Linked DNA regions of Pelodiscus sinensis. The protein of the gene in region 2 purifies or fractionates together with the protein of the main gene of each other region. This does not show direct contact. Links are inferred from orthologs where the notes say so. Each region holds a gene or a part of one and is shown on either strand. Other genes may lie near its edges. The genes, in order: KPNA6 and PTPN2.

Region 1 (15,912 bases), on a different chromosome or scaffold from region 2:
ATCTGGTAGCACTTTATAGGCTAACTAAATATGCAGATGGTATCATGAGCTTTTGTGGGCACAGCCCACTTCTTCAGATGACCAGAGTTATGACTAGGTGATATGAAAACTTGAAATAAATAGGAGAGGGGAAGGAGGGGGAAAAAAGGAAGGGGGGGTGAGAGACAGAGCATCATTAAGTATGGAGAATGAGTACTTAAACCTAAGTAGGTCAAAGTAAATAGAAAGATGCTAATTTCTTTTCTTTTTCTCCCCCCTCTCCTATTTATTTTGAGTTTTCATATCCCATACTCATAACTTTGGTCATCTGAAGAAGTGGGCTGTGCCCACGAAAGCTCATGATACCATCTACACGTTTTGTTACTCTATAAAGTGTTACCAGACCATGTGTTGTTTTTTTTCTGTAACAGTCTAACTCAGCTATCCCCTGAAATTATTTAAAGTAGTATGTTGCCCTGCTGTTTCATCAGATACTTCTTTGGATTTATACAGCACCTAAATAGTTGCTAGTACTATTAACTCAATATTAATAAAGTGCTTTGAGATTCTTTAATGGAAGGAATTATGAATGTGCAATACAAAAATTCTGAACAGTTTTCTGCTAAATAGACTACGATACTATTAATGAAAGTCTCCTGCATTCATCTACTAATAGGCACTTCCTTCATCATTGCAAGCTTCCTGCTGGGAAGTGGCAGAAAAATTGCCACATTCAGTTAGAACACTGTACCATTCAACATTATGACGATAAGTATTCCTAAAGTAGATTAAAAAAAACTCCAAAATTTCTCCCCATTCTTCAGCCTAGCCACTATATTAGAAAACTGAAAGAAAGACATTCAATTTAAAAACCAACTTGGAAAAATTTTGTAACTCCCAGAGATTAGTGTAACTGAAGTACATTACAAAAAGATTGTTTCTCACTTTACTTTGAAATAGTGTTCTGAATTGCAGTGTGCACAAAGTGTTTGCTATAAAAGTGGATTCTGAATTTAAGAATTCAAGTGGATAGTGTTCTAAAAAAGTTTCACTTCTATAGAGCAGTCTCTTACATTAGCAGCTGGCAAAGAGATTCCTCCACAAACAGGTTTACCAGCAGCAGCTACAGATAAGGACTTGTCAACATTTATCTTAGGAACTCCCTTCTTGAAGAGTTCCTAACTAAACCAAGGGAGTTTGCAGGATGTTTACAACTTCAGGAAAAAAAACAAGTTGTATTTTAGTTGTCATAATGCACCCACAAAGGGGTAGAGTTAGTGTTGCATAAACACCTTAAAAGGATAGCAGTGACATGAAATCAACGATAACTAGTTAAAAGTGGTTTCTAGTACTGACCCTGCCTTTCAGTCCCCCAATATCATCCTCAATTTTACTGTGACCTTTTCTCAAGTTGACCTTGTCTCATTGTGGAAGACATGAAACAGCAGGGAAAGTCAACTAACTATGCAAGAAAAAACCCACTGATATTGACTATACTAGAAACTACTCAGAAGCACAGATTACCTAAACAAAAAAGTTCTGATTTTAGTTATGCTATTTTTAAGTAGTACTTACAAACACCAATAGGGAAAACACTCCATCAAGAGTATGACTTAAGAATGTTCTTTTAACTTAGGTATCTTCTGTTTTAAGTGTTTGACTGTGTAGCCTTCACATTTTCTCAATGTAGGTATTAACTGAAACAAACATGTTCGTGAATGTTTAACAAAAAAAAATATATAGAGTGAATACTGAAAACTTCTTAGCATAGCCTGCTTTTGATCCCATAGCTGTGTGCTTTGCACACAGTACGTTCTGTGCTAGTAAAACGCTTATCCACGCAATTCTTTTGGCTGTCTGGTACACTAGTCACCATTGGCTCATTCCCTTCTGTTTTAGCTATCTGAAGCTAGTGATGTGACATCATTACTGGAACATGCAGTCAGTCTACTCATGGAGCTGGCTTAGCGAGAGAGAAAAGAAAAGAGTTCTCTTCTGGGAAGTTAGCAGGCATTTTTCACTAAATTCAATCCTATTAAGATTTTTTATTCTCCCCATACCTTCATGTAAAGGTAGCCATCTATTCCTCAGCTGACTGCCAAAAAACACCTTTCCAGCTTCAGTTCTGCTTGCAAGCCACCCCCAACCAGAAGTCAGATGTTTTCAGAACCCTTTGCACCTACAATGTAGTTCTCCTTGTATGTTATGAGCAGCTCCCCAGCACAGGAAGGGATGTTAAAATGCACATATTCAGGTAAAAAGTGTAGATTTCAGTGATTACATGTGAGGGGAGCCAGCTCCCTGCACATACAGGCTCCTGCTGAGAGTCTCTCTCCCGCCCCCCCCATCTCTGAGGGGAGAGAAGAGGTCTGCAAGTAACAGTGAAGACTCATCAATTAATTGTTTACACTGTCACATCCCTAATAGAGTTGAAAATCTACCATGTGTAATACTGCCACAGGTAAGGTCAGCTAGGTTTCTATAGTAAGTGCTTAAACAAGGGGATTAAGCATTTGACTTAATCAAACAGACACTGTTTTAAATGCTCATGACAACTGCATTATTCCAGATTGCCTTCTTGCAAGATAAGTTTCAAGGCAATGAGGTAGATAAAGTCCTGGGATACTCATATTTGCTAACATGTGCTCTTGAGGAGTCAGCTTTTCTCTCTCCTGATAAGAGATTTTAGGTTCACACCAAGCTTCCTTGTATAGAAATGTACTTACAATTAAAAACTAAAGGGTTTTTAAATGGGGATATTAGTTTCCCTACTTTTATTGCACTATTTTAAAACACAATCAATTATGACATTACTAAACACATGTTCAATGCTCCAGAAAAATGCATACAATCAAGCAACCACCCATCTAGTTAAACTTGGTATGCTAAATAAACAGTCCAATAACATTTATATGCCCAACAAGCACAGCAAAGAGCCATCTGCTGAGCTCGTCTCTACATTGCACACATTACAATAGTACAGTAATACTATATTTGACAAACATACATGGACTATCGGTACAATGCTTGAAGAGGAAGAGTTAACACCATCCTACCTTAATGGCATTTTCTGACTTTTGAACACAGTCTTACTGGGTCAGACCAGCGGACCATCCAACCCCATATCCTACCTTCCAACAGCATCCAGTGCCAGAGGCTTCAGAGTGAATGATAATTGCCCTTTTCCGTTCAAGTGATCCATCCCCCACTGTCCAGTCCCAGCATACCATGCTCCCTTAACAGTCTATTCGTGTAGGACTGGGGTGGCCAACCCATTAAATGAAGAGCCGAAACAGCGACAGAAAAAAAAATGCAAAGAGCCGCACCAAAATTGTTGAGCCAACCAAAAAAAGCTCCCCAACAGCCAGAGTTGAGAAAAGACACCGCCCCTTTAAAAACCACAGGCAGGCTTTTTGGCCACGTCAGGCTCCCATTGGCCACCACCATCTTGCTACACCGGACAGCTCCCCTACACTCGGTGAGTACAGGGGACCAGGGGCCAACTGTAGGGGTACGTGGGTGGCTTCACGAGCCATACTTTCAGGGATGAAGAGCCGCATGCAGCTCGCAAGCTGTGGGCTGGCCACCTTGGTGTAGGCTTAGAACGCAGAGTCAAAGCTGAGCACTGGCTCCCATCTGCCCCCTCCCAACTCCTACTACCTCTATGTAAGCCAGCAAAGGAGAGGTAGGGGGAAGGCAGCTCCACAGAGCCAGAATGTACAGAGAGCCAGCTCCCCATGCATATCAGCTCCTGCCTCCAAGAGACAGTAGCATGGCCGAGCAATTCCACAGGATCCAGTGCTTGTGGGAGCTGGCTTAAAAGTCAGCACATCACGGGCACCAGCTCCTGCCTCCCCCATATCCTTGCTGCCTCTGTATCAGAAGCAGCAAGGGAGGGATGGGATGCATATAGTCAACAAGATTAACAATCACATAGTCCACTACACGTTAAAATCGCTAGTGTTTAAAACAGTCTTTATAGCCATTTTAATAGCGATGTTATAACAGTTTGGTCCCGATTACCCATGGAAGACCTAGATATGGGCAACATAACTGTGGCACTATCCTGCAAAACTTTAATGCTCTAACACAGCAGAGGGGGCTGTTGAGACAGGCCCACGGAGACAGTTCAGTTTTCTCCAGTCACCAGCTCATGTGGCATCTCCATCACCAAAAATCAGTGGAATTCCATTCTGTACAATCCTCTACTAATCTAATCAGCTTCTGTGAAGATTAAAATTTAAAGTAATTCAAGATCCCGTCATGTTCATTAAGGAGGGACTTGATACTAGGCCATATTCACAGGATGGATGAAGACTAGCTAGCAACAGCTGGATTTGAACCTTGTGCGGCTAGAAGGTTTTGGAATGGTTTTCTTGACATCCAGTAGACCAGGGCTTCCCCTGCCCCAACCCAAGAACCATAACGCAATAGTACTACAGACAGGAGAGGTAAGCTATATAGTTCAGTTTCCAGAAAAGTAATTCCTCTTTGTGCTGCTCAGAGAGCAACGCTACAAAGCCACAAACACTTACACTAAAACAGTTGTTGGAAGCCAAGAATAGGGCATCAACAAAACCCCACATTGGTGAAGATGAGCAGAAGTCTGCTCCTCAAGATAAAATACAGCTGCAGAACAGAGCAGCATTTTTAAGCCTCATTCCTGGCTGACCTCAGGCTCTCTTCCCTACTAAGTCGCTAGGAAACAGTCCTAGGTTGAGCCCACATACACAGTGAAAGTTTTGCCTCAGAACTGGACTTTGGTAAAAACCACACAGAGTTGGCATGCCATGGATTAGGGAGAATTGGTCCACCGACCTTCAGGAAGTATGGAAGCTCCTCTGTTCAATGAGAGGAAGGGACTGGGGTTAGCATCATTTTGCAGAAAGTAGCAGACAGCAAGAATCTTATTGTTTTAATCTTCATACATACACTGAGTGTTGTTTAGGGGTGGCAAAGGTCCCAGTAGACAATACCCGGCTCCAAAGAGTTGGTTAAAAACACACACACACACACACACGATTCCTCCCCACCTTGTGCAAGTTACAGTTGGCATACCAGCCTAACATTCCTATCCCCCCAAAATCCATGAAAAGTACAACTGTGGTCCATCTTTTTCTCCTCCTATCTACCAAGTATTGCTGATAAAGAAGCCGAACCAAATACTCTTGGCCGAGCCACATTTAAAGCCACGATCCAGCCCCTTCCTTTCAAGATGAAAGGGGCAGTCCCGCCGCCACTTCTGGGGTGGAAGACACCAGCCAAGAGACCCACCGCAAACTCAAGAAGTGAAAGGCGGGGGCAGTGTTTGCCTCGGGCCCTGGGGCCCCCCGCAGCTGCGAGGCACAAGGCTGGGGGGGGGGCACCTCGCACAGAGGTCCCGTGTGAGGGCTGTTCCAAGGGCTCTCGCTACAGCCCACCAGCTGGGGGGGGGGGGGTTCCACCCAGGGACGGGGCGGGGGGGCCGGCAGGTACCGGGGGGGGGCAGGCAGCGCTCGGCATGAATAAGCAGAAGTGTCCCCAGGCAGAGGGGAGCGGGGGCCCCGCCAGCCGCCTCCCCCCACCCCGCGCAGGGCAGCTGGACGCAGCGGCGCCCCCCGCCGGCCACTGCCCGAGGAGGGGGAGGGGGAACCAGCCCCCCCACAGGGCAGACCCGCCCCCTCGAGCCAGGCACCCCGGGGGCCGGCGGGAGCAGGGGCGCGTAGCCCCACCCCGGCGCTCCGAGACCCGGGTGACGGGCGCGGGCTCAGGGCCCGGGCCGCAGGGCAAGGGGCGGCCGGACCCGCCGGGCCGGAGTCTCCCGCTGGCAGGGCGCAGAGGAACCGCCGCGGCCTCCCCACCCGCCCCGCTCACCCATCTCCGGCTCCTCAGGCTCCGGCTCGAGCTGCGGCGGCCACAATATGGCGGACGGGGGCGGGGGAGGGCCGGGAGCGAGAGAAGGGAACGGCGGCCGGGAAGGGACAAACCTCCCCGCCGCGCGCGCCGCCCTTTAAAGGGGCAGAGACAGCGCGGGGGGAGGGGGGAGAGGCGCTTCCTCCCTCCCTCTGCTGAGCTGTACGGGGCGGGGCCACGGCGGCTGGTGCTGGGGCCCAAGGCCGAGGCCTGATAGCGCCCGTGGGCTGGAGGTGGCAGGGCTGGGCCACGCCCTGGGAGCCAGCCTGGTCCCCCTGCTCCCGCCCACCTGCCACCTGCTTCCCCCCTGCCCTGCCCTGCCCCCACCCGCCCTGCCCACGCCACCCACCCCCTGCCCTGCTCCCGCTCCCACCCGCCTTGCCCACGCCACCCACCCCCTGCCCTGCCCTGCCCTGCTCCCGCTCCCACCCGCCCTGCCCACACCACCCACCCCCTGCCCTGCCCTGCTCCCGCTCCCACCCAACCTGCCCACGCCACCCACCCCCTGCCCTGCCCTGCCCTGCTCCCGCTCCCACCCAACCTGCCCACGCCACCCACCCCCTGCCCTGCTCCCGCTCCCACCCGCCTTGCCCACGCCACCCACCCCCTGCCCTGCCCTGCCCTGCCCTGCTCCCGCTCCCACCTGCCCTGCCCACGCCACCCACCCCCTGCCCTGCCCTGCTGCCGCCCGCCCTGCCCACGCCACCCACCCCCTGCCCTGCCCTGCTCCCACCCGCCCTGGCCACGCCACCCACCCCCTGCCCTGCCCTGCTCTCGCTCCCACCCAACCTGCCCACGCCACCCACCCCCTGTTCTGCCCTGCCCCCACCCGCCCTGGCCATGCCACCCACCCTCTGCTCCCGCCCGCCCTGCCCACGCCACCCACCCCTTCTCTGCGCCTGCTCCCGCCCGCCCCACCCATGCCACCCACCCTGTGAGTTCATTCAAAGGGGCAGAGTGGTGGAGCCCGGGATCAGCGGGGGACTCTAAGTCCCCCGATGACCCCAGGTTCCATGAGGGCGCTGTGTCTTTGAAGTGCACAAGAGCCCCCACTGGGGCTCTTGTCCATTTCAGGAGGAATGCGAAAGTGCCTATCGACTAGTCAGTTAACCGTAATTTAACATCCTTAGGTAGGAGCATGATTTCATGCTGGAGAGCACATAGAATGTGATTCCCCCACCCCCCCAAAAAACCAGCTGCGTGGTATGCTAATGTAACCCACACACCTAGTGTGGTTACTGCGCAATGCAAGTGGTACCTAGACCACAGCAACAGTTAAGATCAAGAGACCTCTACAGCATGGGCTGGGAGCCAGCTGGCTTTTAGCTCAGAGGGTGGAGGCTCCTCTAGTCAGCCCCCGATTCAAACCCGCCCGGCGGCGGTTACACTAGCAGCATCCATCCTGCTGGGAAAGGATTAACTGGGTCCTGTTGATTCACTAAGGGCAGTGGGAGTGATTTCTCAGGGAGCTCGAGGGCATCCTGTAGAAAGAGCCCCGGGAACAGCCAAACCCTGGGAAATGGCGCCCGTTGGTGTTTGTTCTCCCGTTGTTAATCAAGAGAAGAGGACGTGGCTGACAGTGGGGCAGAACCTGTCTAGAATAAAATTCTTCCTAGGAATGTTCACCCTAGTTAGAGGAGGCAGCACCTTCCCAGTTGTGTTCCTCTCATCTTCAAAGGGAGAGGCGTGTGGGGGAAGCGACAAAGGAGACCACCCAGCTGTTGTCCCCATTTGCTCGGGAGGAACTCTCCTCCTCCTTCCCACACACTCTGTCCCATGGGGAGCCTTGAATTTATTTTCCCTCCTGTTGATTAGGGCTGAATTATGACTTTCGAGGGCCCGAGGCACTTTTGCCTTTGTGGGCCTCTTCCTCCATAAAAAAAAAAAATATTAAAAATTATTTTTGATACAACTTTAAATACTTCAACGTTTTATTTTTTTTCTGTTTTAGGCAAAATGTAATAGATTTTCGTGGGCCCTAAAAGTTTCATTTTTTTTCTTCTGATTTTAAAAGAAATTAAAACATTTTCGTGAGCCCCTAAAAGTATCCTGAGCCCTAGGCACTGTGCCTAATGGATAAGTCGGCCCTGCTGTTGATGAGGCACAGCTGCTGCCAGCACCTTCTCCTGCCTATCAGCCCATGTCTCCAGCCCTGGCTGCTCGGCCACTCCCAACGAAGGGCTTTCATTTTGTCACAGCCCCGCCAAAGATAAGTCACATACCACCCACTTGTAGCGTGGCTGGGGGCACTTCCCTTTCCCCACCCTTGGGAGAAGAAATCAGCATCGAGGTGATTCTGCCTCCGGCGCCACAGGACAGGGAAGAAAAAGCCATCTAGTCACTCCAGTTTTCGCTTTGCTTGGAGAGGAGCACGCCGTGATGACAGTGTATAGAGTTCCACCAGCCAGACATCAATGGCAGAATGGCTGTGCCAAAGGAAAATTTTATGGTCCCTGACACAGAACGGGTCAGCTCCACATCCTGTCTTCTAACCGCTTGGCGTTTGCCTCACATGCTCCAGCAATTTTCACCACTACACTGCTGGAGACGGGAGCACAAGTCGACAGTTCCCGCAGATAAAGCTCCAGCTGATCAACCCTCAGTAGTTTATTATTTAAAACACACGTGGACGGGCTGGGGGCTGGTCTCTGTTCTTTTACCCACCTCCTGCTTTAGTTCGTGATTCGAACTAGGAGGGTAATGTAGGCATACCGCACTTGCAAATGAAGCCCGGGATTTGAATTTCCTGGGCTTCATTTGCATAAACCGGGCGCCGCCATTTTTAAATCCCGGCTAGTTCGAACCCCGTGCCGCGCGGCTACACGCGGCACGGAGTAGCTAGTTCGGATTAGGCTTCCTAATCCGAACTAGCTGTACTCCTCGTGGAATGAGGAGTACAGCTAGTTCATTTGCAAGTTCAAACTAGCGGGGTAGTGTAGACATACCCTGAGAGATTCCCAGTTAAATACCTTGCCGATCAATGGACAAAGGGCAGGATTGGCATGAAGGAATTAGAGGAAGGGCAGCAAAAACCTCAGCCAAAAATCCTGAGAAACTATTATTGTTCCTTGAGAAGAATGGTTTGGTATACGTTGAACCTCTCCAGTCCGGCACTTTCTGGTCTGGCAACATCCATGGCCCAGCATGATTTTAGTTAGCCGGATGGCCACTTAACATGGGTGTGGCCAAGTTTTCCATGGTCACATAAAGTTTGTTTACAGCCACCAGCCCTGGCTCTGCTCTGTGCTGTGATGTAGCTCTAATTTACCTCTACATGTCTTCACAGCAGTGGAAGTGGTGGTAATGCTGCTAGACCAGTGCTGGGCAATAGGCGGCCCGCAAACACTTTGATCCAGCCCGCGCACTGCATCTGGCTGCTTTCTATTTATATCCTGCCGCCCGTACCACCAAATTTCCAGGCGGTGGCTCAGGCAGCAAGGATGCATTTAAATGGCTCATAGCTCCCAGTCGCAGCACTATCCCAGCAGAGGTCACAGCCTTGAGCCTTTTAAATACAGTCATTCCTCATTTAACACGTGCCCACTTAACACGTTTTCGCGATAGCACGATTTTTTTTTTTTTAGGGAACGTTTTTTGAATGACACAACCGTCCCCGGAATAACACGATTTCCCCAGCTGGCCCGTCGCCAGTGGCTGCATGGGGCTTCCCCCGCCTCCCTGCAAAGCAGCGGAGGGTTTGCCGCTCACCGCGCCGTTCCTCACTGCCTCCCCCTCACCGGACGCCTTGCCCCCTCTCCTCTGGCCCCACTTGCAGGCCGGCGGCTGGGTTTCCCCAGCCTGCCCATCACCAGCGGCTACGTGGGGCTTCCCCCGCCTCCCTGCAAAGTGGCGGAGGGTTCGCCGCTCGCCACGCCGTTCCCCAGTGACCCCCCCTCGCCGGACACAGAGCGGGTCCCGGCAGACCAGTCACAGGGGCATGCTCCCAACCCAGTCCCCCTCCCTTCTCCTCCCCTTCCCGTCCGCAGAGCCAAACACCTCCCCTCTCTGCTGTAACCCCGTCCCCTTTCTCCCCCGACCTTATGTCCCGGTCCCAACAGACACCACCGCTTGAAATGCAACCCCCACCTTTTCAATGGGGAAATTGACCCTGCATAACACGTTTTCACTTAACACAATCATTCTCTGAAACATCTCTCTAGTGTTAAATGAGGAATTACTGTAGTCCCAGCCACCCTGGGCAGCTGCCAGGCAACGCAGTAGTGATGGGGCCCTGAGCCCTTTGCTGTGGTTTTTTCAAAGCCTCCAGCCCCAGACAACTCGGGGGGGGGGGGGGGAGGCTAGTGCCCAGCCCCACCCCTTCGACTCCAAGCCCCACCCACTCCAGGGTGGAGCCGCCCTGTGACCATTTACCAAAATTAATAAAGTGGCCCCACTGCAAAATGATTGCCCACCCCTGTGCTAGATAATATTGGCCTCTTGTGGTTGGGCAAATTCTCTGGTTTGGCCCCAAGGGTGCTGGAGTAGAGAGGTTCAACCTGTAGTTACATAGGTACCATCGACGTGTGTCACTGCTGTTTGTCATCTTCATTGGAGGCTTCTTAGGTCAAGAACAGCGGGTTGTCCCTGATCCCTCCCCCCGCCCCGTCCTCTCACCCGGCGTGTGTCACTGACCCTTATGCAAAGCAGTTAACTGCTTCCAAATCAGAATGCTGGTTGCATCCATCTTGCACAGCTGTAAGGCTCCATCTGGGGCAGAAGAGAAGCAGAACCCCTCCGATATTGCAGATTAAACATTAAAATCCCGACCCCGGGCTAGCCCTGAGTTAAAGCAAAGACCCGTCCCAGGTCCAGCGTTTGCTTCAACCATTTTCCAAGCCAGCTTGTTCAAGGGAGTGAAGGACAACCGTAGAGATTTCGCAGTTGGCAGGAAAGAATTCCTTGGTTGCAAAGCGTCGCGGGGCAGCTGTCACAGGGCACAGAACACTGGACTCTCGCCGCTGACTAGATGAACACACAGGGCTTAAAAGCAAAGTTTTATTGTGGGGCTCCCAGACGGCCAGTTCGTGCCAGGCAGGTAGGGCCAGGGGAAATCCAGAGACCTGCTGCATCTCGGTGAAAACGACATCTAGCAAGTTCAGTCACCCACTACAAATGCTTCAAGAGCTGAGGTAGCCACTTCCTGGCTCAGTGGCACACAGCCTGGGAAGGCAAGTGAGAACGGAGACAAGGGGTCACCCAAGAGTGGCCCAGTTGACTGGGACAGGTGAGGGCTAGGGATGATAAAATGTGGGGGGGGGGAGGCAGGAGCCAGTGCTCATGGGGAGCTGGCTTTAAAATCACCTGCCCCCCCAATGCTGCCTCTGTATCGGAGGCATCAGCGCAGGGGGCAGGCACCAGCTCCCACCTGCCCCCCAGCCCCGCTGCCTCTGTGGGAGGCAGCAGTGGGGGGAAGGGCATGTGGCTTCATAGGAGCCAGCACATGCTGGAAGCTGGCTTAAAGACAGCGCCCCACATGTACCAGCTCCCTCCTGCCCCTCCCCCCATGCTGTTGCCTCTGATACGAAGGGGGGAGGATATTAAGCTTGGCGGTAGCCAGTACATGCAGGGAGCCAGTATGAAAGCCAGCTCCCTGTGCATTCCAGCTCCCACCATGGGCTGCTGCCTCTGTATTAAAGGCAGCAGCTGAAGGGGGAGCAGGCGGATCAGTAGAGAGGCAGCTGTGTGGAGGCTCATCAGTTTACCCTTTACACCAGGCATGTCAAACTCGAAGCCTACTGAGGGTCGCACAAACGGAAACTGATCGCTTTCAGGGCCACCAAAGAAAATGTGCTTCTATTGGAAAGTCATAATGATTTATTATCATGGTTTAGGCATATTTTATACTTTTTCAGGTCTTGTTTTAATATAATACAATCACTTGATGTGTCAAATTGTTATTTGCCCATATAAAATATTTTTTTAATTTAAATATAAATTGAAGGTACTTTTTAATTTTGTATGATACATAACTTGTTTTGTGGAAATAAAAACAAGTATAGACCGAGCTTAATCAAATAGAACAGGCTTCTGTGAAAATTTCAGATACTTTGTAAGTTTGACATTTTGGATAAATATATATTATTCGTGCAACTGCAAAAAATTGACATTTATTGATATACATTTTATGATTTTATTTGGGAATAAATAAATACAAAACAAAACATTAACAAAATATTCCCCTCCTTTCCCCCAGAGCCAGGCACTCCCATTCCCCCATTCTAACTCAATCCCTCTCTGCTCCCCCAAAACCAGGCCCCCCCTACCTAATGCCTCCCACCTCCCCCAGAGCCAGGCATTCCCAGCCCCCCCAACCTAATGTCTGGGTCTCAGAGTCGCTGGCGACGCCACACTTTCCTTCCTCAGGTGCTGGGGTGGCGTGAGCAGGCACTTGATGCCTGTGCAGAGCAGCTGGCCAGTCGTGAACACGTGCTGGAGCACCCAGCTCCGAGCGGCCTGGCCGGCCGAGAGCAGTAGTTGCAGCACTGAGCGTAGAGTGGCCGGTCAGCCGGCTGTGATCTGCGCTTGGCCACGTGCTCCGAGTGGCCAGCAGGACGCACTTTATTCTTTTATAAAAATGTAGTGGCGGGCCGCAAAAAATATTGATTGGGCCGCATGAGGCCCTCCGGAGGCTTGTTTGACATGCCTGCTGTACATGGATACACATTCACATCCCTAGCGGGGGCTGAGGATAGTGCCGATCGCAGGGGATCCTTTTTCCAGTCTGCAGGAAGCCTGCAAGTCACTGGGCAGAAACAGCTGAATTTTCTCTGCTCTTTGTGCACAATTGGTTGTTTCTACAAAATAAAACACAAGCCACGCTTATAGGATTTGTAAAGAACAAATTATGTCAAACCACCTGATACTTTGACAGGCTAACAAGGAGAAAGCAGTAGATGAGGTGTAGCTAAGTATACGTCAGGGCTCTTTTCCTCTGGCTTTAGCAAGGAGGGAAGATTTGGGAGGGACCAACATTTTTTATGTCCAGCTTCTGTCTGCTTTTAGCAGCAGTAGAGGAGGTGTAGCTAGACTTAAGGTATTTGATACAGTCTCACATGACCTCATTAAGAAACTAAGGAAATACAAGAAAGGGCGTAATGAGTGGGTTCTGCAGGGATCGTTTCTGGGACTGGTTCTGTTTAACATCTTCATCAACAATGTAGATATTGGCATAGACAGTATGTTTATAAAGTGTGCAGAGGATACCAAGCTGGGAGGGGTTGCAAGTACTTTGGAGGACAGGGTCATAATTCATAGGATCATAGAACTAGATCAGTGGTTCCCAACCTTTTCACTAGTGCGGACCCCCAATCACTCCCCCCAAACTGTTTGCAGACCCCCAATCACTCCCCCCAAACTGTTTGCAGACCCCCATCAAAGCCAATTCTAGCCTCAATTCTAGTAGTGGGGTATTTTCTCACTTTTACTGTTTGATTAGCTGTTCCACTTGTGGATGCCTCACTCTGCTCAGTCTCCTTTCTCTTCAGCGAGCCGGATTTCGCCACAGATCCATGTTGAACGTATGGCTAACGTGTGTACGCTTCTAACCGTCATGATCGTTTCGTCACACAAAGGCGCCACAACATAGATTTTTGGACCACAATTCATAACATTATTGGAAAATATTTAATTTAAAAACAACATTGTAACTTTTCAATTTATTTAAAAAATATTTTCTATTTTTATTTACCTTTAATTTTTCCATGGACCCCCTGCAATACCCTCGCAGACCCCCAGGGGTCCGTGGACCCCAGGTTGGGAACCATTGGTCTAGAGATCATCTCTGATAAGTGTCTGTCCAACCTGCTCTTAAATCTCTCCAGGGATGGAGATTCCACAACCCCCCTGGGCAACTTAGTCCAGTGTTTCACCACCCGGACAGGTAGGAAGTTTTTCCTAACGTCCAACTTCAACCTCCCTTCAGAATGATCTGGACAAACAGGAGAAATGGCCAGTAGGATGAAATTCAATAAGGCCAAATGCAAAGTGCTCCGCTCACACAGGAACAATCCAGAATGGGAAGTGACTGTCTAGGAAGGAGTCCTGCAGAAAGGAATGGGGCGGGGAGCCCCAAAAGCGAAATATGAGTCAGCTGCCAAAGCTGGGCTGCACCACTCCCACCCCCCACAGGCAGGGGCTATGTCAGCCCGGTGGTAGGTGGGCTGTTCCTGGGACCCGGTTAATTCTTACCCCATAAGCATCACCCTTTACGTTACTGGTTCACCTTCCTCCCGCAAACCCTTCCTGAATGGCTTGTTTTGCTGTGACCCCTCCCCACGCGCTGGGCCCACAGGATCACATAGCAACAGGGGTAAATTCCTGCTTGGGGGGGGGTCATTCCACCCCCACTCCACTGCCCGGGGCAGTGCCGTGAGCCAAGCAGCAGCCAAGGAACGACGCCCACAGAAAATTCTAAGATGTCCTTTTATTAAAATGTGCGTCACTGTTTGGTGTGGCGGTGTCCTTTGCTGTTCTCCGGCTGTCAGGGTGTTGCAGGTGACCACCCCAGTGGCCTCAGCGCGCGGGCCTAACGTGGGGGAACCGTTAGGTGGTCCGTGGCCTACCGTTCCCGCCCATGGCAATGTACACGTCAATGGGAACGTTGGGCAAAGTCAGGCAGTGGCACCCGGGGCATCTTCTCAGCTGCCTGCGGAACAAGAGAGAGGGTTTAGCTCGGCTTCCTACAAGGGTTGTGCAAAGCCACATACATCGAGCCCTTCAGCATCCCAGGTGCATGGCGGAATGGTGACGTATTTACCTATCGGGAGGGGTGCAGATCCCAAAAGCCCCAGGGCTCAGAACCCATGTGGCTGGTTGAACACGTCAGGGCTCTTTTCCTCTGGCTTTAGCAGGGAGGGAAGATTTGGGAGGGGACAACATTTTTTAAGTCCAGCTTCCCTGTCCGCTTTTAGCAGCCCCAAGCAGGAAATGAGAATTTTCTGCCCTAGGAATCTCTGGGTGGGAAAAGGACAAAAACTCCCAAAGGCTCTTCTTTCCAAGGGTCCTGTATGGTGAAATCAACACTTGCTGGGACAAAGCCTGCAGAGAGACCATGTGCCTGCAGAGATAACGGCCACGGGGTGGCGGCGAACCCTTGAGGGCTGGTAGTTTAACGGAGGAGGCCTTCAGGGCAGGGCAGAGCCTCTTCCGGACAGTAATAGAAGCACTGGGGGCCCCTCGGCTCTGCCTGCTGCTCACTGCCCAGAAATGCTCCACTGGAGCCCCCGACTCATCCCTATAAACTAGTAAGAGGCAAAGGGCACGGCCCAGCCACAGATGGGTTAAGGCTACAGTCGAACGGCCGGTTACCCTAGACCTGTTACAGGATTGGTTGTTGTCCAGCGATTGCACACCAGGCCAGCGGCCAATAGAGAAGACGGGACCATTCGGTTAGACAGAGCCAGGCAAAAACGTTCACCTGCAATTTTTTGGTGATACAATCTGCTCCTGGGACACCGAACCGTGTTGTGAATTCCTGTCCATTTTGCCACATGGCTTCGGTGGGAAGAAAAAAACATGCAGACAAACCCAGACCAGGGATGTAAAAATCCATTTAGTTAGTTAACTGGTTAACCAATTAAACAGAGGCGGGGGGGCGGGTGGGTTGCTCCAGCCTGTCTGTGGTAGGTCAGGCTGGGACTACCACGGGTAGAGGGATGCTCCAGCCCCCACCGGTTAACCATAACTGGTAAACATCAGCAGGGTGATACTGATTAACTGGTTAACCATTTGCAACCCTAACCCAGATGTTTTGTTTTGACATTTTCTTAATGAAATGTTTAAGCCTTTCCGTTGGAAACCTTTTTCCTTCCAAAATTTCCTGTAATTTCATTTAAAAAGATCAAAAAGGCTCAACAGACAAACAAAATGTCTTATTTGACCCCAGCTTAATGTTTTCCTCTGTGGTGCTGCCGCCAAGCAAGAACCATCTGGTTTGCACCCAGCTGTTTCTATGACCTAACCCGTGTCTCTGGCCCACAGGGGTCTGTGCAGGTCCCCTTCACTAAGCCAGCAGGCCCCGCCAATTTGTCCCCCGCTTGAGCC
Region 2 (16,781 bases):
CTTCCCCCTTCCAGGTTTCAAGTCCCCTTCCCCCCTCCAGGTTTCAAGCACCCCCATCACCCCAGTTAAATGACAAGGAAAGTGTTAAACAAAATGTTTATTGTACATAGTTTGGCATGAAAGTATATTTTCTACATAAAAAATGAACAAAAGCTTTTTTATGTTTGCAACAGCTATACTATTTTCCAGTGAGTGATATTTAAAAAAATAAAACAGAACTTATTCTTTTGAGACAAACCCTGGTGTTTATTATTTCTCCAAACAGGGTCAGGAGATGGGTTGTGGAGGGAAGCTTCTATTGGGCCAGGGCCCAGTACCCAGGCAGAAGCCCCTCAGTAGAGTCAGTGGCCTCCAATTGAGAATTGCTCCCGTAGGGCCTCCTGTATGCAAACAGCAGACCAGTAAGCCTGGCGGATAGCAGCTGTCCGTGGCTGGGCAAAGTGCCTCTCCTGACCATCAGCACCTGTAACCCACCCTGGTAGGAAGGCCTCCCCTTTCCTCTCCACCATTGTTATGGAGAACGCAACACGCGGCCACCACCTCAGGGATGTTGCGCTCCCCCATGTCTAGGCGTGTGAGCAAGCACTGGAATCTCCCTTTTAAACGTCCGAACGCACATTCCACCTGGTTGCGAGCACGGTTAAGGTGAGCATTAAACTGCTCCTTGCTCGCATCCAGGTGGCCGGTGTAGGGCTTCATCAGCCACGGCATCAGGGGGTAGGCGGCATCAGCCACTATGCACACTGGCATGTGCACATCCCCAACCGCAAAGTCGTGATGCGGGAAAAATGTTCCTGCCTGAAGCCTCCGGTAGAGGTACGAGTTCCTGAAGATGCGGGCATCATGTGCCCGCCCTGACCACCCAACACAAAAGTCAGAAAACTGGCCACGATGGTCGACCGGGGCCTGGAGGACCATAGAAAAATAGTCATTTCTGTTAATGAATTGGGCTGCTCGATGGGGCGGTGCACGGATTGGAATGTGTGTCCCATAGAGCGCTCCTCCACAATTCGGGAAGCCAAGGGCAGCAAAGCCAGCCATGACGCTGTCCAGATCTGGTAGACAGACGAGCCTGTTCAGCAGCTCTGAATTGATGGCCCTCACCACCTGCAGAAAGAGACAGACAACAAAATGTTAGAAGGGGTGCCTTATCTCTTAGGAGGAGAACCCACCACCCATCTTCCCTCTCAAACACCCCGGGAATCCCCTCCTCAGAACCCCCCCCCCCCAACAATTCAGGGTGAGTGGAGGAGCTCCCTCCCACTCCCACTCCACTTTGCCCTTCCTGACAGTCTCCCTTCCCCCCACCCCAAACTGTGACTGTCCCCAGACAATGACTTACCTCCATCAGGATGTATCCAACAGTAGACCTGCCCACTCCAAATTGGTGTCCCACGGAGCGGTAGCTGTCGGGGGTGGCCAGCTTCCGGAGGGCAATAGCGACCCTCTTTTCCACGGGGATAGCGGGCCGCAGGTGGGTGTCTTGCCGTTGCAGAGCCGGGGCGAGCCAGGAACACAGCTCCTGGAAAGTGGTCTTTCACATCCGGAAGTTGCGTAGCCACTCTTGGTCATCCCAGAGCTCCATAACGAGCTGGTCCCACCAGTCAGAGCTGGTGTCAAGCCTCCAAAAACACCTGTCCACAAAGAAGTTTGGAGGCAAGGGCAGTGGGGCTGAATGACGGACGATCCCTTCGTACCTCTGGTCTGGGTCCAGATGGGGAAGTAGCCTCATGACTGTGTCATGCAGATACAGCAACACTTGCAGTATGATGGCTTGGGGCCATCGCCTTCCCAGGGGCAGCTCTGGCTCCATGCCAAAAAAACGGGTCTAAAACAGAAAAACCTCCAAACAAAAAACCTGCTGGGGTGTCCCAGGAAGCTGAGCACTCCAAACCAGCACTGCAATGCCTTGCTTACCTCCTAGAGGGACAGCAAAAGCAGCTGCAGAAGCAGAGCAACGGGTGTTCAGGGACGTCCCTTTAACCACGCGTCTCTACAAAGGGCAGGCAGCAGCACCCGGAAGGAAATGCTGCCCCCATGCCCTGGCAGAAGCAGTTCCGGGTGGCTTTTAATTTCGAAAGAGCATCCAGCAGTCAGGATGCTCTTTTTCGAAAAAGCGGATCGATTTTCCGATCCGCATATTGTAGTCTAGACGCGCTTTTTCGAAAGAGTCTTGCAGTCTAGACATAGTCATAGAGTTCAAAATAAAGTCAATGGATTTCAAGAAGGCAGACTTTAGTAAACTCAGGAAGCTGATAGGTAAGGTCCCATGGGAAGCAAGACTAAGAGGAAAAACAATTTAAGACAGCTGGCAATGGACTGTGACAGGCCACACTGAAGCACAGGGAGTTCCCCTGTCCCAGCTGGCTGTGCAGGCCCTATCCCCACGACCCTGCTGGGCTTGCGCAGGAGGGAAGCTGGGGATAAAAGCCCAGGGAGCCATTCAGTTGGGGCTGACCACCAGAGGGGAAGGAGCTCGGTCTGGAGCTCCTGAACAGCTGTCCCAGGAGCAGCACTAGCTAGTGCAGCCGCCCCAGGAGCAGCACCAGCTGCCACAGCGACACTAGTCAGCGAGGCTGTCGGACTGAGACTGACCTACTGGGCAGTTCGCCCAGGATGATGCAGTGCATTGATGGTGGCAGGAAGTAGCCCAGGGTGGAGGAGTGTCCTTTGGGAGCTCGGTGTGTTCTGGCAGGCATCCCCACCGAGCAGGTAGCAGAGCTAGCTGCTGCCAATAGAATCCTGGGCTGGGACCCAATGGAGTGGGAGAGGCTGGGTCCCCCTACCTCCCCACCCCACCATAATCCAGCTCCTTAGATTTTTGGGGAAGCTCACCTCTGAACTAGGCCGGAAGGCTGCCTACACCCTGAGAGAAGGGAGTGTGTTGGTGACTAGGGTGGAAAGGCCATATATATCCCTGTAGGAAGAAAACTATACTTTGGGGATTGGGCCTATAGGGCCTTATATACCACTGTAGAGGGAAATGCCCTTTGAGGTTGTGCCTGGAGAACCGTATATTACCTAATAGAAAGGGCTACTGTTTGGGAAAGAGCCGTAAGACTGCATATACCCTAAAAGAGGGACATTAGTGATAAACTGAGGTTGGTCTTGTGAAAAGGGAGCCCTAACCCAGATGTTGGGGATTTCTAGACCATTGAGGGGTGGGTGACCCCTCGACATGGATGTTATTAAGGGCGCAAGAGTACACTATTCCAATTTGTAGAAAAGATAGGAAGTATGGCAAGAGACCAACCTGGATTAACCAGGAGACCTCAAAGGCTTTAAAAAATAAAAAGTCATATAAAAAGTGGAAACTCTGACAAAGGATGACTATAAACAAAAACACAAGTATGAAGGGGCAAAATTAGTAAGGGGAAGACACAAAATGAGCCCAATCCAGCTAGAGACATAATAGGTAACAAGAAAACATTCTACAAATATATTAGAAGCAAGAGGAAGCTCAAAGACAGGGTAGGCCCATTGCTCCGTGAAGATGGAGAAACAATAACAGAAAACATGGAATGTCCGAGGTGCTTAATAACTTCTTTATTTTGGTTTTCACCAAGAAGGTTGATGCCTAACACAGTGAATGCTAGTGAAAATGGGGTAGGTTCAGAGGTTAAAATAACAAGTTAAAAATTACTTAGAAAAGTTAGATGTCTTCAAGACACCAGGGTCAAATGAAATGCATCTTAGTGCTCAAGGAGTGGATTGAGGAGATATCTTAGCCATTAGCTATTCTCTTTGAAAAGTCATCAAAGATGGGAGAGATTCCACAGGACTGTCTAAGGGAAAATATTGTGCCCCTCTATAAAAATGGAAATAAGGGCAACCCAGGAAACTACAGACCAGGCAGCCTAATTTCTGTGTCAAAAAAGCTAATGGAGCAAATAATTAAGGAATCCATCTGTAAAGATCTGGAAAATAAGGTGGTACATAACAGCTAGCATGGATTTATAAAGAACAAATCATGGCAAACCAAATCTGATAGCTTTCTTTAATAAGATAAGGGGGAAACGGTAGATGTGAAATACCTAGACTTAGTAAAGCATTTGATATACAATAATTCTTCATTTAACATGTGCCCGCTTAATACATTTTTGCAATAGCATGATTTTTTTTTTAGGGAACATTTTTTGAATTACACGACCGTCCCCGGAATAACATGATTTCCCCAGCAGGCCTGTTGCCAGTGGCTGCGCGGGGCTTCCTCTGCCTCCCTGCAAAGCGGTGGAGGGTTTGCCGCTCGTTGCACTGTTCCCCGCTGATTCCCCTTTGCCGGTCACATTGCTCCCTCTCCTCCACTCCCGCTTGTAGGCCAGCAGCTGGGTTTCCTCAGCTGGCCCGTCACTGGTAGCTGCGCAGGGCTTCCCCCGCCTCCCTGCAAAACAGCGGAGGGTTTGCCGCTCACTGCGCCATTCCCCGGTGACCCTCCCTCCTCGCCGGACGCAGTGCGGGTCCCGGCAGATCCGTCACAGGGGCATACTCCCAGCCCAATCCCCCTCTCCTTCCTTTCCCCAGAGCCAAACACCTCCCCTTCCTGCTGTAATCCAGTCCCTTTTCTCCCGCAACCTTATGTCCCAATCCCAACAGACACCACCACTTGAAACACAACCCCCATCTTTTCCATTATTTTCAATGGGAAAATTGACTCCACATAACGTTTTCACTTAACACGATCATTCTCTGAAACGTATCTATAGTGTTAAATGAGGAATTACTGTAGTCTTACATGACCTTCTTATCAATAAATTACAACCTAGATGGGGCTGCTGTAAAGTGGACACATAACTGGTTGGATTTCCCTTCTCACAGTGTAGTTCTCAATGGTACAGTCATGCTGGAAGGGCATAACAATTGGGGTTGTGCAGGGATCAGTTTTGGGGCTGGTTCTGTTCAATATCCTCATCAATAATTTAGACGATGGTATAGAGAGTACGCTTACATAGTTTGCTGAGGATACCAAGCTGGAAGGGGTTGCAAAGGCTTTGTAGGACAGAATTATAATTCAAAATTATCTGGACAAACTGGAGAAATGGTCTGAAGTAAACAGGATGAAATTTAATAAGGACAAATGCAAAGTATTCCACTTAGGAAGGAACAATCAATATTACACACAGAAAATGGGATGTGACCGTCTAGGAAGGAGTTCTGCAGAAAAGGATCTAAGGGATATAGTGGACCACAAACTAAATATGAGTCAACAGTGTGACACTGTTGCAAATAAAAGCAAACCTGATTCTGGGATGCATTAACAGAAGTGTTGTGAGTAAGACACAAGAAGTAATTCTTCTGCTGTATTCTGTGCCATATATAGAATATATACCTACAGTAGTATGTATATAAGGCCTATAGGCTCAAACCTCAAGTACAGTTTTCTTCCTACAGTGGTATATATGGCCTCAATTGGAGTATTGTGTCCAGTTCTGGGCAGCACATTTCAGGAAAGATGTGAATAAATTAGAGAAGGTTCAGAGAAGAGCAGCAAGAACGACTGAAGCAGTAGAGTTGAAAGTCATAACCAGAGCAGTCACTGCGAGGCACTGTCTTCCCGGAGGCCAAGAATATTGACTTTCAAAGTGCTACATTTGTACTACCACAAAGTTGACCAGGCAAGGTTGAATGTAGCAGTTACTCCTCATGAAAGCTGAAGTACAGAAATTTACTTTAACAGCCTTTAAAATCGATGGAACATACTTGGTCGTGTGGACTCATTGTTAGAAAATCGACCTAAATGCAGCTAAATTTTATCTGAACTCTCAGTGTAGACCAGGCCATAGCTATTGCCTGTAATATGTGTTTACAACAGCAGAGGATGCAAGAGAGCAGGAAAAAACTAGAATGATAATGTTTTCATGTGCAGGGAATCCGACGGGGAGGAGTGCTGGAGATTGCTGAGTAGACTGTAAAGATCCGTAAGTCTAGACCAGGGGTGGGCAAACTATGGCTTGCAGGTCATATTTGACCCATCAGACTTTATCTGTTCCTTGACCTCCTCCCTGGAATTGGAGTCAGGAACTTGCCCTGCTTTAGCCTCGTGGCATTTCCCAGCCCTGACTGTTTTTTAATAAGCACCATCTTCAGGCATGCAGAGCCAGACGGCGCGGATGCAACTGCACCACACTGTTTCCTGGATAAGAATGAACCTCGCTCCTACACAATAGCCCCCCTAAGTGGCAACGTGTCTGATCCCCTCCTGGTCTCCTACAGCCATACCCGCAAGAGCATCAAAACTGCCCAGGGGCCACACGGGTGTCAGCTAAGATACCTCTGCCTGTGGCGGTGCCATTTCTGACAAGGCCCCTGTAGAGCTCTCTTCTGTGCCACTCTCCATGAGTCCCCCACCATCCATTTCGATAACATTCCTTACAGTGTCCCTCAGAGGTGAAAGCAAGTGGGTGTGCCCTGGTGCAAAGCTCCAGCAAGAACTGGCTAAGCTGAGGCAACAGCCAGCAGGGAGCTATTTAAAGAGTTGGCAGGGACCCAAGAGGACAGTACCTGTAAGAAATATTAAGTTACTTTCACTGCTGGTGCTCCTTCCTGTGCCACACCCCCATGAGTACTCTGGCCCACGTCACCCTGAAACACAATTTTCATACCCAGATGCAGCCCTCAAGCCAAAATATTTGCCTGTCCTGGCCTAGACTCTAGGGCTGTGTCTAGACTGGCCAGTTTTTCCGGAAAATCAGCCGCTTTTCCAGAAAAACTTGCCAGCTGTCTACACTGGCCACTTGAATTTCCGCAAAAGCACTGACTTCCTACTGTCTGAAATCAGTGCTTCTTGCGGAAATACTATGCTGCTCCTGTTCGGGCAAAAGTCCCTTTTGCACAAAACTTTTGCGCAAAAGGGCCAGTGTAGACAGCTGAGATTTGTTTTCCGCAAAAAAGCCCCGATTGCGAAAATGGCGATCGGGGCTTTTTTGCAGAAAAGTGCGTCTAGATTGGCCACGGACGCTTTTCCGCAAAAGCACTTTTTGTGGAAAAGTGTCCATGCTAATCTAGATGCGCTTTTCCGCAAAAAAGCCCCAATCGCTATTTTCGCAATCGGGGCTTTTTTGCGGAAAACAAATCTCAGCTGTCTACACTGGCCCTTTTGCGCAACAGTTTTGCGCAAAAGGGACATTTGCCCGAACAGGAGCAGCATAGTATTTCCGCAAGAAGCACTGATTTCAGACTGTAGGAAGTCAGTGCTTTTGCGGAAATTCAAGCGGCCAGTGTAGACAGCTGGCAAGTTTTTCTGGAAAAGCGGCTGATTTTCCAGAAAAACTGGCCAGTCTAGACACAGACAAGGGGTATGTCTAGACTATATGCCTCTGCTGACAGAAGCATGTAAATTAGACATACCGACATAGTCAATGAAGCGGGGATTTAAATATCCCCTGCTTCATTAGAATAAAAGTGGCCACCACGTTGTGCCAGCTCAGCTGTTTGTAGGCACAAATTGGCAGTCAAGATGGGGATCGGTTGACAAGGAAAGCCTTTGCTGACTGATCCCTTATGCCTCGTGAAACACCTGGATGGTGTTGCTAGAAGTTGGTTGTGAAACCTTGTTCTGATCTCCAGTCCATGACCCTTTCTTATGCCTCATGATTCCATCCTGGTAACTATCTCTTGTCTCTGATTCCAACCTGACTCTGACCCTGACTTTGCCTATTGCCTGGCTCTAGTCTATAGAGTACTCAGATCTCTGCTGACTACTGACTGCCTTGTGGCCATCCTTGACTTGTGGACCCACCAACCCAGCTATGATACTATGTTATACCATATACATCCCACCGTTATATTCACCGATACAGTCTCCATACGAGTTTACACCTTCTACAGACCAATATGGTGGAAATAAATGTTTATATATGGTAAAATAGACCATGTCAGTGTTTTGTATCCCTGCCCTTTCATCAGCCTTACTCTTCACAAAAATTTGAAGCATGATCTTGATCACCATTGGAAAACAACAACATTAATATAGTGTGTGTGGGGGAGGGGAGGGGGGGTGAGAGAGGCAGAAACAAAGTGTGAGGGCCAGTTAAGATATATCTGCCTAAATTAACCATATCTCCCACAAACAATTTTTTTTTCTTTCTGCTCAACAAAAAACTGGGAATCTACTAACATGCAAATTAGATAAGGCTGAGTAAAGAGTGGCCTCTTCTATTTTGTGCCCTTCCATAATAGCTTACGAAGGTAATGGAACTTCAAATTCTGAAAAGCAGGAAACACAGAGGCTATGTCTACATTGGCATGATCTTGTGAAAATACTCTTTAACGCAAGAGTTCTTGCGTTAAAGTATTTGCACAAGACAACGTCTACACTGGCATGTACCTTTGCGCAAGAGATGTGCTTTTGCACAAAAGCATCCGTGCCAGTGTAGATGCTCTCTTGAGCAAGAAAGCTCCAATGGCCATTTTAGCCATCGAGCTTTCTTGCGCAAGAAATTCATGTTGCCTGTCTACACTGGCCTCTTGCGCAAGAACAGTTGCGCAAGAGGGCTTATTCCTGAGCAGGAGCATCAGAGTTCTTTGCGCAAGAAGCACTGATTTCACACATTAGAACATCAGTGTTCTTACGCAAGAACTCCCCACCAGTGTAGACAGGCAGCATGTTTTTGTGCAAAAGCGGCCGCTTTGGCGCAAGATCATGCCAATGCAGACACAGTCAGAGTGAAGGGATACACTAACATAACCTTAACTCTAGTCTCCTGGAGCTGATCATTGCCACTGGAAATTATCTGCATATGCTCCAGCTATATTATGTGGAACTGGATACTGAATGAAGGGATTAGTTGGAGCAAAATGGTAGAGCTGTGATTACATGAGGAGATCTGGGAGTCCCACCTTTCTTTAAACGTCTGACACCCATTCCCTCTCCCCTCATCAAGTGTGATCTAAGGAAAGATGTGCAAGGGCATTTTGAGATATTGTCCCATTTCAGTGCTGATTTCTGAAGGTGGTACCAGTACCTCAGTACAAGCATTATCTTATCACAGTGCAGAGGTGAGCTATGACAACGACCTGCAGGTGCAGATGGGTAAGTGAAGACAGCACCAGATGGCAGAAAGAAGCCGTAAAGTAACCAGGAGTGGTGCATTTCTGCAGACTAGGCTCAGGGTTTGCATGCAGGGCAGGTGCATGCTGCTCCTGGTCAGAGGAGCTCAAGCCCAACCCAGCCGCAGCAAAGAGTGTCTCAACTTCGAGCACTCCCTCGCTGTGCTCCCCGGGGCACGCGCCCCGTTTGCAAAGGTAGCAGCCGCAGCAGGCACACGTGGGGGCCGGAGCAGGGTGCCCGCAGGGCAGAGTGAAGGAGACGCGCGCGCCGGTCGCTTGGCACGTTGCACACTTCGCCGCCGGGGGTTTGTCAGCCAGTCATACGTCACAAGACTCCGAGCCCGCACGCGAGGCACAGGCGGAACGCAGAGGGGCGAGGCTGACCTCGCGCCACAGCATCCGGGCCGTTATTGCCCACTCACCCCGCCCTCTCCCCACCTGTGCGCTCCCCCGCCGTCCCCCCAGAACGGACCGTTACGTCAGTCCAGGTGCTTTCCCTGGGGCGGAGTTTCGAGCGCCCCAGATAGGCGGAGGCTAGTGGTTGGTTGGGAGTGCGCATGCGCCTGACGGCGGCGGACGAGCGAGCCGCCGACTGTAAGGCAGGAAAGCCGGAGCGCGCGGCGGGCTGGGGCTTGCGCTCGCCGCCGTTCGTGCTCCGGGCGGAGGGAGCGGGAGGTTATGAGCCTGCCGGACTTCAGCGGTCATCCTCGCTCCGGCCGCCGCCATGGCACCCCCTATAGAGCAGGAGTTCCAGGATATCGACACCGTTAACGACTGGCAGGCTCGCTACCTTGTGAGTGAACGCGGGGCTCCCTGGATCGGGAGGGGAGGAGGAGCAGGAGGGGAGGACGGGGCAGTCGGCTCCGGCCGGCACGCGCGGCTCTTGTCCCGTACTGGGAAGCGGAAGTCGTTGGGCCACAGTTTGATTTCAGGTGCGCGCAGCAGCGCTAGCACCCGCTGCCTCCTGGAGCGCTGTCTGCGCATGCACCGAGAAGGGCCGGCAGAAGAAGGGGAGACTTGCCCCTCTAATACGCATGTTCAGTAAAGAAGAGGCACTTGGGACTGGCAGGAGCACGCATGCGTCAAATGCGGGGGGGGTAGGCGCGGAGTATGAGGAGCGTGCTGGTTGTAGTGCGCATGCGCCAGCAGCCCGAGGCGCTTTAACGTGCGCACGCGCGTTTTAGTTAATTTTTCGTCTTTCTCCCTTTTCACTTCCTCGACTGGCCTCCTGGACTCTGCCTAGCGCCGCGCCTACGAGTGGTTGTCACGCTGCTCTGCCGGGCGCCTCGTGCCCTTCGCGCGCGGCTCGCCCCCTACGTCCTGGGTTTCGCTCTGCGGGTCTAGTGAGCAGTAGCTATGAAATGCTCTCGGCGTCGCGGTGGTCTTGGTGGAGACTGGTGCTGCGGCATTCATGTTCCTTGATTGACAGCAGAGGTGGGGAAACCTCTGGCCCCCGTGTGCCTACATCCGGCACCCGAGGCTCAGAGCTCCCCCAGCTTTGGGGAACCCAGCACCGCCCTACCATAGTCTACTGCCCTCTTCCCCGAGCTCTGGTGTGTGCGGGGAATGTGGGAAGTGGCTTTGTCTGTCTTACTTAGGGCACGTCTGCACTGGGGAGTTGTTTCGAAAGGCGAGCATCCACACTACCAAGCCTGTTTAAAAATAACACGCCCATTATTTTCTAATAACTCTAGCTTGTGAAGAAGGTGATAGTGTGGATATAGCCTCTGGGACCACTTAAGTGAGGGGTGGGTTTTTGTTATTGCTTTTCACTTGTGTGTAGCCCCCCAACTGACTTAGAACCTAAAAATGGCTGTACTGGGTCAGACCAAAAGTCCATCCAGCCCAGTATCCTGTCTGCTAACAGTGGCCAGCAACAGGTGCCCCAGAGAGGATGGACTGAAGACAATGATCAAGCGATTTGTCTCCTGCCATCCCTCTCCAGCCTCTGACAAACAGAGGCCAAGGACACCATTTTATCCCCTGGCTAATAGCCTTTTATGGACCTAACCTCCATGAAATTATCTAGCTTATTATTTAACTTCTGTGGATGAGTGGCCCCCAACCCAGAAAAAGTTCCCCATGCCCTGGTTTGCAGCATTGATTGCTTATAAAGGTTTAATGGCATCCTCAGTGGAAGTACTTCACAGGTTATCCTGTTACTAGAATTTGCATAACTGCCTTTAATGCCCTAGGGCAGTGGTTCCCAAACTTTTTTGGCACCATGCCCCCCTTTTTGTTTTTTGAAAAACCCTCAACCCCCCCAAATAGCTGCAAAACTTGAGCGCAAAAAAACCCAAAAACTTGATGGGGGTGGGGGGCTGGGTCGCCTCGCACACACCCCTGGAATTTCTTCAGGCCCCCCAGTTTGGGAACCTGTGCCCTAGGGCATAGTTGCTCTGATCCAGGTGACCCATCTTTGCTAATAATTTGTGCTCATATCCTTTGTTTTATAAAACCTTAATTCAGCTATGCAAACATTGCTAACCTAGTGTGCCCAACAACTCACAGATCTATTGGATGTTAGGCCCCTCTTACAAATCAGAAATATTCAGCATTAAGTGAATGTGACTTGCCTAAGGCTACATACAATTCTCTGGAAAGTTGGGAATAGATAGCAGACCTGTTGCCTTTCTGTTACATTGTGCTGTGCTTTCATTCTGTTGAACTAAAATTTCAACATACTTTACCCTGAAACACTATATTTTAAATATATATGCAGGTTAGGCACAATATCTAACAGTGAAATAATTCCAAGGCTTGAGTTAAACAGAGCAGATGATAAACTAAGCAAAACTTTACAGATGGCAAGTGTACCAGTTCTGTAATCAATATTGTTTACTGTTACTAGCAAAATGTATGCAGAATATTGCATAGTGTATGTCCATAATGTGTAAATTACCTGGCTTAAACCATTTTAATTTTATGAAAATACATCTGTTATAGTAAACTCACATGAAAATGTAAACAAATTCTGTAAGGCTTTTCAGTTACAGATTTTCTGTTTTAAATTTAGCTATATTATGTAACTTTAATGAGAATAGATACCTCCAAATTCTGCCATTCTAGGTTTATGCTGTGGAGTGTTTTCACTTATCTCTTATGAGCAATTTTTCATTTATCTGTGCTTAATATGTTTTAGATGTAATATTTCTGAAGTCTTATTAAATAAAATATAAACCAAGGAGATTATTGCTTCTGTGTCGCAGAAACTATTTATGCAAGTATTTGTATTGGTGTGAGTTCACATGAAATTAGCACATATTTAAGTCCTCAATGATTAAAGTAAAGTATTTTCTTTCTGCCCTCCCACCCCATATTGTTGGGTAGTGGATATTGAGGGCAAGGGAGACTATAATGCTCAGGGAATTCCCAAGGAGAAATTCATGGATGAAAGAAGGTGGGATTTCCTCCCTTGTAGAGTGAGCCCTGCAATTGCATGGGCTTGTTGGTGTTGAGAAATACCATGGATCTCTAGGAATAGTTCAGGAATTTCTATTAGATATATTAAAAAACGGTAATGTAACCATTACAAAAAAAAAGTGGCAGTTACACACTGTGGGCTCTGCAATGTAAAGCTTATTATACGGCAGAGCTTGCATTGGGGCCAGAAGCCAGTGCGTGCCAGGAGCTTGCACCTAGCTGCCGGCCCCACTCCGAGGAGCCAGCTGTGCTGAGGACTCTGCAGTATAAGCTTTATACTGCAGAGCCCACAGCGAGAGGCAACAGCCAGCTTCCCGGGAGCAAGACCGGCACACTGGGAGCCAGCTTACCAGCACCCAGCTTCTGGCCCCGCTCCCAGGGAGCTGGCTGCCACCCTGCGCTGCAGGGTCTGATACAGAGCCTTCAGTGCTGGCTGGCAGCCAGTTCCCTGGGAGCAGGGCTGCGAATCAGTGTGTAACCCGTTATGGGAATGGATAAGATCATGATTATCAGGTAACCATTTAAAGTTTTTTAAACTGTTACTCTTGCATTCCTAATTTTCCTAGAAGATTGTTTTGTGCTGCTACTTGGTCCATGCAGTGATGACTACCTGATTAACATTTGTGGAGTTGCTGGAAGATGATGCCTCTTATTACACCTGCACTGATTGTGCCCTTCACAGTTGTGGAGCCAAGTTCTAAGGAGGGAGCATCTGTGATATTGGTGTGATTTCGTTGAGCTCAACTCACCTCCAACAGTTTTTGGGTCCTTGTAATTGTGTTCTGTTAGTTTAACCTCTGTGGTATGTCAGAGAGGTTAGTATATAAACATACATACTGAGAGAAGGGATTAAAGTAATACATTTGTATTTTATTACTTGATAAATAAAAGGTTTCCTCTGGATATTTTTGTTTTAACTTTGGTATTTCTAGTAGATTGAGCTGTTCCAAAATTATCATTAAGTTGTGTGTGCAATTTTAAATGCACACATCTTTAAGATACTTTTTTAAAAAAAAGTGATGTATAGTTTCCCATAATATCACTAATGCATAAATGCTAAATTTGTTTATATGTATTGATACTTCAATAAAAGTGAAGATCCTATTCACATGTAATAGGATCCAGATTCATTTTAGGTTGCAGTTCCACAGAAATCATTTCTGATTATGCCTGTTTTCAGAAGGAGCAGGGGAGAAGGGCTCATTTGAAATGAGGATGTGCAGAAGGTAGATAGAGTGAAGGAAGCCCATGAGGCGATTACAATAGTCAAGGCAAAGAATAGTCAGGACCATGGCAATTGCTTTGCTGGAGGGAAAATACAGGAAGAATGTATTTTGAGTTATGTAGGACCTTGTCAGAAGTAGCAGCAGCACTGGTATGGAGAAAAGATGGACAAGATGCTACTTCAAAATTTAAAAACAATTACAGGCAGTCCCCGAGTTACACGGATCCGACTTATTCCGCAGTTACGAATGGGGCTTTTCTTGCCCCGGAGGATGGGAGCGGCGGGACACCCCAGCAGACCAGGCTTTTCTCGCCGACGACGCCTGGGGTAGAGCAGCTGAGGAGCGGCGCTGCGGGGACCTACCCGGCAGCGCCCCAGCTGCTCTTTCCCAAGTGTCCAAATTCAGCTGCTGTTGAAACTGATCAGCGGCTGATTCCAAGAAGCCCAGGGCAGAGCAACTCTGCCTCAGGCTTCCTGTAGTCAGCCGCTGGTCAGTTTCAGCAGCGGCTGAATCTGGACACCAGTTCCGACTTACATACAAATTCAACTTAAGAACAAACCTACAGTCCCTATCTTGTACGTAACCCGGGGACTGCCTGTATTTATCTCAGACAATTTCTGCGAATGGTACTCTAGCCATCTTTTCACCTGGGGAAGAGAACAAATACAGCCTCTAATACATCTTGGCCACAGGGAGAGAATGCTTGTTTCAGAGGGTGGAGGGACATATAAGCAGAGGAGGCAGACATTTTAGACCTGATTCTGATCAACAGAGGGATTGCTTGTGAATCTGAAGCTAGAAGGCAATTTGGGTGATAAAACTGGTAATTCCTAAGCAGAGGGAGGAAGGAGTAGTAGAACAAGGACAACAGATTTCATAAAAGCAGACTTCAACAAAACAGAACTGGTAGATACAATTTTCGGTAAGAACACCTAAAGGAAAACGTGTCAGGAGAGCTGGCATTTAGAGATTAAAGTGGGGGAACTGTTTTTGGGTCAGGAGTCACTGACCCACAGAAAAATCAGTTGGGGAGCCACACTAGGGGCAGGGTTAATTCTTCTGGGGGCTGGGTTTCCCTCTAGGACTGGGTTGGTAAATTTGTCAACCCTCCCCCATTTGGCTCCAGGAATGGGGCCAAAAACGATGGGGTCAGTGTACAGGAGGGGGCTGACAGGAAGTGGAGTGGAGAGGGAGTACTGGGTCTGGGCCAGAGGTAGGGGGCAGGAGTGAACAGAGGTTGGGTGTCTGAGAAGGAGATTGGGGACAGGAGATTGGGGTGCTTACCTGGTGCAGCCCCTCTTTGGTTGTAGACACTGTCCCCTGCTGCTCCCATTGGCCACCATTCCTGGCTAGTGGAAGTGATGGGAATGTAGCCTGCAAGCAAGTGCAGGAAGAGAAATTCCCTATGCTGCTGTTCCCCTCAGCTCGGGGGAAAAGGGGCAACAGGAGCAGGCAGAACCACTTCCTCTCCCCCCCCCCCCCCCCCCACCAGCCAGAGCCAGCCACACAGGAGCTTCAGCACTTACTCTCTGCTGTTTTCCCCCGCAGTAGGGAGCCAGCACTTGGAGACTCAGTGTGGGGCTGGAGCATTAGCACCAACTTGCCCTGCTGCAAGGAAAAGCCCTGACCCTCACCACAGGCCAGATCAAAGCAAGCCAGGGGATGGATCTGGTCCATAGTTTTCCAATCCCTGTATTAAAGGTGTAATAGTAGACTACCCAGGAGAGAAGGAAAGATTGGAAAAATATTAAGAGGCTAATGTGGCTCCATTAAGAGCTCTTAAGTTCTCTAAAAATCAAAGGGAATCCTACAAAAAGTTACTCCTTGGAGAATTGTATGCCAAAAAGATGAAAAAAAAATCTACACACAATTTTAAAATTCTGCATTTCTTATCGATAAACTAGGCAAATACAACTTAGATGGGGCTACTATAAGGTGGGTGCATAACTGGCTGGGTAACTGTTCTCAGAGAGTAGTCCAGGGTTGGAGCGCACTCAGAAAAAAGCTGGGGGGTCCATGCTCAGTAACTCCTCCCCTGCCCTACCAGAGTTTCTGGAGCAATGCAAACAGCTCATTTGCAGTGTTCAGGCTCTGGAGGGGAGAGTGGGGACTGATTGGGGTGCTTGGAGGAAAGAGGCAGGGTGGCTGAAGAGCACAGCCCCATAACTGCATCCAAGGGCCCTCATCCTAGCTCTGTCAATACTAGCCCCTCAGTTGACCATCACTGGCCAGATACATTGCCAGGTTCGGGACTAGTCAGGTGGCCCCAAGAGTGCTGAACCAGAGGGGTTCAACCCATATTAAATAGTTAAGTTAAATGCTAGGCAGAAACGAAGTCCTGGAGCAAAAGTCAACCTTGAAGAACTATATTAAAATTATTTTTAAATACATTTTTTTTTTTTTTTGCTTTGCAGAATTTTATTCAGAATGACTGGAGTTTATTCTCTCTAGATATGTGCTCATTTTTTCCCAAGGGATGGCAGAATGTCATCTGCATTTACACGTTCCGCTTAAATGGATTCCCTGCCATACTGTTCGTGGGCAGATTCTGCTTTCCAAGGGTCCTACTTGCTCAGTTCTGGCTACAGCCTTTTGGGCAACCTGTCCCCTGGCTCAGGGACTGCTTTGGCTGGTGTGAGGCCCAGGGCGCAGCCCACTTGTACCAGGAACGGAGGCAGGCTCCCATGCCCTGGGATGCTATGACTTGCTCTAAGGCCGCTTGCTTGCACCACTGTTCTTGGTGCTCATGGGCTGCTGGGCCAGTAGGCTCAGGAGAAGTGCGAGGCACCCCACGTCCCCAGCCACTGGCCACCCCATCCACTGCTGCGCCCTGTGTGACTATGTCCCGAGCCCAGCACTGAGCCATCCTGGTGAGACCCAAGCCCAGCCTGGCTCCCTCCCATCCAGCCATGAGTGGGGCTTGCAGCAGTGAGCGGTGCTTCTACAAGGTGGGCAAGGAGGTGTCCAGCAGCATTGACCTGAGTGACCTGGGCCCCCTTTGCCTGGTGCTGCAGTCCCGCCCTACTTCCTTCCCTGTGCAGTTGGAGCACCAGCGCTGGCTTCCCAGTGGGGGTTGGAGAGAAAGCC

The links.
Region 1: the proteins of PTPN2 (region 2) and KPNA6 purify together in Homo sapiens (affinity purification with mass spectrometry; 3 studies listed by BioGRID and IntAct, with this or other methods). This does not show direct contact. The link is inferred for Pelodiscus sinensis from reciprocal best matches to the Homo sapiens genes PTPN2 and KPNA6.

The regions. Positions count from the first base shown.
Region 1 is NC_134735.1:3,503,086-3,518,997, reverse strand, and holds the start of KPNA6 (importin subunit alpha-7), read right to left. Parts: upstream 8,173-15,912; 5' UTR 8,158-8,172; coding exon 8,094-8,157; intron 5,974-8,093; exon of another isoform or gene 5,837-5,973; coding exon of another isoform or gene 5,833-5,836; intron 3,139-5,832; exon of another isoform or gene 3,124-3,138; coding exon of another isoform or gene 3,111-3,123; intron 1-3,110. Other genes in the region: protein FAM229A, read right to left, coding at 14,413-14,515. UniProt on the Homo sapiens protein: Functions in nuclear protein import as an adapter protein for nuclear receptor KPNB1. Binds specifically and directly to substrates containing either a simple or bipartite NLS motif.
Region 2 is NC_134712.1:87,627,841-87,644,621, reverse strand, and holds the start of PTPN2 (tyrosine-protein phosphatase non-receptor type 2), read left to right. Parts: upstream 1-9,601; 5' UTR 9,602-9,769; coding exon 9,770-9,838; intron 9,839-16,781. UniProt on the Homo sapiens protein: Non-receptor type tyrosine-specific phosphatase that dephosphorylates receptor protein tyrosine kinases including INSR, EGFR, CSF1R, PDGFR.